Linked DNA regions of Nothobranchius furzeri. The protein of the gene in region 1 interacts with the protein of each later gene in a pairwise test. Links are inferred from orthologs where the notes say so. Each region holds a gene or a part of one and is shown in the gene's direction. Other genes may lie near its edges.

Evidence for each region. The genes of interacting proteins can lie anywhere in the genome.
Region 2: the proteins of golga2 (region 1) and KAT8 regulatory NSL complex subunit 1 interact in binary tests that used the Homo sapiens proteins (3 or more experiments, as listed by UniProt). The two-hybrid records come from large-scale screens. The link is inferred for Nothobranchius furzeri from reciprocal best matches to the Homo sapiens genes GOLGA2 and KANSL1.

Annotation. Positions count from the first base shown.
Region 1 is NC_091746.1:54,867,132-54,869,597, reverse strand, and holds part of golga2 (golgin subfamily A member 2), read left to right. Parts: intron 1-299; coding exon 300-486; intron 487-1,635; coding exon 1,636-1,904; 3' UTR 1,905-2,466. UniProt on the Homo sapiens protein: Peripheral membrane component of the cis-Golgi stack that acts as a membrane skeleton that maintains the structure of the Golgi apparatus, and as a vesicle thether that facilitates vesicle fusion to the Golgi membrane.
Region 2 is NC_091756.1:53,931,767-53,935,423, reverse strand, and holds part of KAT8 regulatory NSL complex subunit 1, read left to right. Parts: intron 1-3,415; coding exon 3,416-3,540; intron 3,541-3,612; coding exon 3,613-3,657. UniProt on the Homo sapiens protein: Non-catalytic component of the NSL histone acetyltransferase complex, a multiprotein complex that mediates histone H4 acetylation at 'Lys-5'- and 'Lys-8' (H4K5ac and H4K8ac) at transcription start sites and promotes transcription initiation.

The DNA of each region.
Region 1 (2,466 bases):
ATAATATGCTGTAAACGATAATAAAGGAACATAAAACAAAAAGAAAAGTAAAATAAATTTCTAAAACATGAGAAGCATGAACTTTATCATGTTACCTACATTTATAATTTGCAATTAATTTGATAATAATCACGTATTAACTATGAAACTCATGCGATGAATTGAACATTTTATTAAATGTCTTTATTTAGATTGATACTGTGCAGCCTAAATTTCTCATTAAAGCTTGGTTTATTTTAACAGTTTTAGAATTAAATGTAGTGTTTCCTGTTCACTGATGCTTACCTCTGATCTATTAGGTCAAACTAGCAGAGCTGCAGGATCTGGTCATGAGGCTGGTGGCTGAGAGGAACGACTGGTACAACCGCTACGCTGGAGCTGTAGCCAACATGGGGGCGGTCAACCCAGACCTGCTTCCTGTTGGACAGGACCACTCTCTTTCAGAGCACCAAACAGGATCTGAGGTTCACGCCGTCAGTGGAGACGGTGAGCACTAGTAGATGCACTAAATCACTAACTGAGCGCTGCAATTTCAGCTTCGTTTCTCTTTTTAGTGGCACTGTTAAAGTAAAAGTCCAATTAGTTATCACACACTGATGAAATTCATCTCTGCGTTTGACCCATTCCCTTGAGGAGCGGTGAGCTGTAGCTGTGGCTGCGCTCAGGAACTATTTGGTGGTTTAACCCCCCCCCCCCCCCCCAATCCAACCCCGCAAAGCTGAGTGTCAAGCAGGGAGGTATTGGGTCCTATTTTTAAAGTCTTTGGTACGACCCAACTCTACTAGAACCACGATCTCTTAGGGCTGGGCAATAAATCGAAAATTTATCCTTATCGAAATTTCTGACTCTTATCGAGATAAATTTTCCCATGTCAATAAATTTGATAATAAAACAATGAAAATTTGTGTAGGTTGGCAACGTTCATGTCCATTTCAGATGCTATACCACCTTGAGTCACATAAAAATGTGATTCAACATAATACATGTGACAGCCCCATCTAGTGGGCTGCATGGTGGAGCAGTTGTTAGCACTCTTGCCTGGCAGCAAGAAGGTTGCAGGTTCGAAACTCGGCCCTGGCCTTTTTGCGTGGAGTTGCGTGTTCTCCCCATGCATGCGTGGGTTTCTTCCAGGCACTCCGGTTTCCCCTACAGATCACAGCATGACCTACAAGTTAAAAATTGTACGTCGCTTTGGATAAAAGCGTCTGCCAAATAAATAAACATAAACATAGAGGACAACTTTTGTTTCTGTGCATACCTGTAGTTATCGTCCATTTATCGTTATCGAGGTTAAATCCTCACTATATCGTGATACTGATTTTAGACCATATCGCCCAGCCCTATCAGACACTCTACCTCTAGGCCTCTGAGAAGGTTGGTGAGACGTTCTTAGATTTCTAGTGGTTCTCATTTAATTTTTGATTAATTCAGGCTTCAAAAAGGCAAATTTGGTGAATGGAATCTTTAAACTGACCCTTTACAAAATGGTCCAATAATTTTGTCTGTATTAAAGTGACAGAAAACGTGATGCTTTTGCTCAGGTGCTCTTGTAACAACAACACATTGTCATTTTCAGACAGATTGTGAATTTCTTCTATATATTTGCAGAGGTTCACTAGTTTTTCTTTTCCACAGAAGCCATGGAGGTCATCCCGCTGTCTGAGCCTCCCAATGGTCTTGAAGCTTCATCATCCCAGACGCTATCACGTGGACTTGTTCAGACTGAATCCAAACCACTGGGGCCAAAGGAGGATGGCACAGCCTGGCAAATCATGCAGCTCCTCCAGGAGATCCAGAACCCACAGGGGGCTCAGAGGTCACCCCACTTCCTAGGAGAGAACCCTTGCATCCCGTTCTTTTATCGGCCTGACGAGCAGGATGAAGTCAAGGTCCTGGTGGTGTGAGCTGTGGACATGTCCTGAGATGTTAACCCCTACAGTTTACCACATTTGTAGCCTCTTGATCAGATTTACAAATGCTCCTTACAGAGTTTGACTCCTTAAAACTGGTCAGATTTAGGAAAAATGTGTCCAAGTTACGTTGAGTCGCCCCTTTTTGTTATCATCCCTTTTGTTTTTTTTAATTATTTTTTATGTGAGTTAATCATTCTTCTTAAATGCAAATTGATTAATCTCGAATTTTGAATTCGTGTCACCCATCTCACACAAATGTGCAATAAAACAGGGCGTCAGTTGGTCCCCTCGCTGGTACAGTCCCTAAAGAACTGTAAAGAACTTTAAATTAGTGACTTTTTTTACACGCAAATGTTTCTTTCCTCACTGCACACATGCCAAAGAGCAGCACCACAACTGAATGTATTAACCCTGATATTTACGTGTGTGTGTGTGTGTGAGAGAGGGAGAGAAATGTGAAGAGGACGGTGCAGAGATGGGACGTCAGTACGGCTGGCCTAACTAATGAACGCAGACTGGTGAAGCTAGGTCAGAGCTGGATGAAGTTACTCAG
Region 2 (3,657 bases), on another chromosome or scaffold:
GTGGAACAGACATCCCTTTAACCCAGAACTGTGCTTATTGGGAGATAAATCTCAGTTGCCTAATGTAAATAAGTGTAATTTTTCAATCATCTCAGTGGGATTAACAACAGCCTGTGGAGTCATTTTAAGACACTGGAAAGCAGTAGAATCTCCAGAGGTTAAGGAATGGGTCTGTGCAATGGCCGAATCTGCATCATGTGAATGTATGCTCAGTAGTAGTTGTAGTGAGTGAAGACAACAGAGAGGGAACTGGGATGGATTCTGGAACTTTATAAAGACAAAGGCCTTGGGTGAAATCAAGCACGTTATGTGACTGCTGTTACTCAGACATTACGTGTCTGCAAGAGTTCTATGATTGGGACCTGTATCCAAAATCAACTGTTATATCTGTATATTTAGTACCTCCATGTTTAGTATCTATTGAGACTGCTATGTACCAGCCCCTAAAAGAAAGTTCAATACAAACTTGAATAAAAAAAAAAAAAAGAAGTGAATTGGAAGTCCAGTGGGCAGTATCCACCACCTCCATCTTGGCCACGTCATACGTCTTGTCACTCCAGGAAAATACAAAAATAGAGCTGTGAGGGTGGAGGGCAGGTAATTGACTCCCATCAAACTCTGAGCCGAGGTGGCTACGAGCTAACCAAAGCTAACGGAGGTTGGTGGGTGCTCGTATCCAGAAAACTGCAATTGACCGACTGCTACCCTTAGCTTTGTAGGTTATAATGCTTTTAAAGGGTTCGTTACGGTGCTTGAAATCCTTGACAATGCTTTTATTTTAATAACATGTTTTCAAGGTATGGAAAGTGCTTGATTTCTGTATTAAGTATTTGAAAATGTTTGAAAAACAAACTTCAGTTTTATATTTGTGATCAATTTAGTTTGATTAAAAAACAAAATTTGTAAATACTGAAAACTAGAGTTATCATTTTACCTTTAATAAATGCTGCTGCTGCTGCTCCATGGGGGTCGGCTCTTTTCTGTAACACCGGTGTGTGAGCAGCAGACTCCAGCGGTGTCTTCTGGCTTCGCTTTGTAGCAGACCCACTTTAACTATGAAACATATTTGCTTGTCACGCGCGTGTGCTTTGGTTCTAGGATCCAGCGGGATGTGATGCTTAGTTATGCAATCAGGACTGTAGCAGGGTACCCAAAACAACAGTAGGAAAGATTTTTTTCGCTGCTAAGTTTTGGTACTTTCCCTGTTATAAGCTGCAACGCCCCACTCCTCCCAATGCTGCGGTTCACATCAGATGTAGGCTGCTTTCTCGGCCACTAATTTTGTTTACAAAACATCTCCGAGTTCGTGAACTAATAAAATACCAACAAAAAAAAGTTTCGGCTGCATCTTGTTGAAGTAAACAGTAGAACTAAATGTAACGTGTTCAGATTTGTTTCACTAAACATAGAAACACCAGTCATTTAATAAAGCACTTGGTCATTCATCGCGTCTGTTTGTGAACCGAAGCTTCCATGTACTGTGTTTGGTTGCAAAAGCAGACCAGACCTACTGTGGCAAGCCATTTTATCATTTATTCAGCAGCAACACCTACTTGTAATACCTATGATACACAGGGACAATATAATTCAACCTAGTCTGTCTCTCTTGTCTCGTCAGGAAGACCATTGATAAAAAATGTGTTAATATTACTAACATGTTTGATTATAGCTTCATTGCTTAGAATTAAAATAGTTTAAAAAGTGTGTGGCTGTGTTGTGCGATAAACATCACCAGGATACACGCATGTTGCGGCTGGCAGGCTCGCTCTTCCCTGCACCTGTAGTGCTGGATGTGAAAAAAGTGATGAGAAAGCAGCTCCTTCATCGGCTCCAGGAGGCTGCACAAACTATTTGCAACCACAGTCATTCAGCGTGAATAATGTACTGCTTTCCTGGTTGTGTTTTAGCTGTTCATAGGCAATTTCTCTCTCTGTGTTAGCTAGTTGTGTGTTTTTGTTTGAGTTGCTGCTGTGAACTGGGAGAGCTGGGTGTTTGGTTTCAGGGTGGCAGACTAGAACTAAAAGCAGATGGTTAAAACTAAGACATCCTTATGTTTGAAATTCTTTCTGAGGATGAATTTAAAAGGTCTTCCTTGTTGCTTTATAGTGTTATATCTGATCTCTTTCACCTGCTTCCAATTTAAAATAATGTGATCAGGGCCAATGTCCAATCCTGTGATTGGATAAGATCGTCACTGTTAATGTGAGGTGAGGTGAAACTCTCCTCTTGAGTTCTTGTGTATTGTCTTGTCTTTAACGTATGATGCTTAAGAAGTCTGAAAATTAACCTTGGAGACGCTTGAATTTGTCACTGGGAAAAGTGTAACAACCCTGTTTTAACATGAGGCTGAGGTTTTTCCCTGGAAACCCAAAATCATCCGCATGAACCTGGTCTAGCTGGCTCTGTGTGATGTCACAATCAGATGTGGTTCTGATCCAATCAGCTTCAGATGAAACACAACCCGTGTTCTTGGAACTGTCGATGGTCACAGGAGTTTTACTTTGAAGGAACAAATCTACTTCTGCCTGAAAACAGGAAGTGAGTTTATGATCAATCAGATGGAGGGCATCTAAGTGTCCTTTACTTACTGGAATAAAACATGTAGTGTTTAATTTTCAAAAAGTTTTATTAAACAAAATGTCTGATTTCATAAACATGTATTTGGGGTTATTTATGAACAGTAACAAAAACCAGGCTCTGGAGTTTTAGGGCTGATTTATGCGTCTCCGTCTGCGTCAGTGTGGAGACACGCAACGCCATTATCCGTCCTTGCGTAGGGCCCTGGCAGGCACGCAAGTACGTACGGAGTCGAGCCCACTTTTCTAAACATCCGTCCGTCGAGATGGAGAACGCACGCTTGTGATTGGTCAGGGCATCGCTGTCGTCTACACCGCCGCCATTGCGCCCTCAAAAACATAAAAAGAGCCGAGAATAACTAGCGGCAGACACGGAGAAGCTTGAAGAATACCTCGCGAAAAAAACTATAAACGTTTAATTCCCCCGTAGCTGGAGGAGTGAAAAGATGCGCAGCAAGCGTTTAATTTGTGGACGGAAATGACAGGAAACGTGGGTTTAGAGGTGGGGAGCGCATGAAGGGGTGAAGGAGAATGAGAGACAAATTTGTCCGTGTTAAAAAGTCTCTTATGTACAAAAAACACAATATAAACACACGATCTTGGACCGATACCTGACAGGATACCACAGAACAGCGCTACGCCCTCTGTTGTCCTGGCGGGGAATTGCTTTGCAACACTCTCCAGGAGACGGAGAAGTATGAGAGCAAAACGCTTCTGTCTGTCCGTGCGTGTCTGTCCCTTGCGGAGCTGACGGAGAAGCATGAATCAGCCTTAAGATCAAGTGGGTGTTGACCCGCTTCAGCACTGGTCTGATTTGTGTGTTCTGATTGGTCTTCCAGCAGCAGCCCATCAAGCGGCGGCGAGGTGAAAGCTCGTTTGACATAAACAACATCGTGATACCCATGTCGGTGGCAGCCACCACCCGGGTGGAGAAGCTCCAGTACAAAGAGATCCTCACACCCAGGTAGAGACTGCGTCCAAGTGTGGTTCTGGCTCTGATGGGAGTTCTGGGGCTGACTGTTTTCTGTTCCTTTAGTTGGAGATCTGTGGATGTTTTCTGTTTGCCCATAACTGAAGAGGA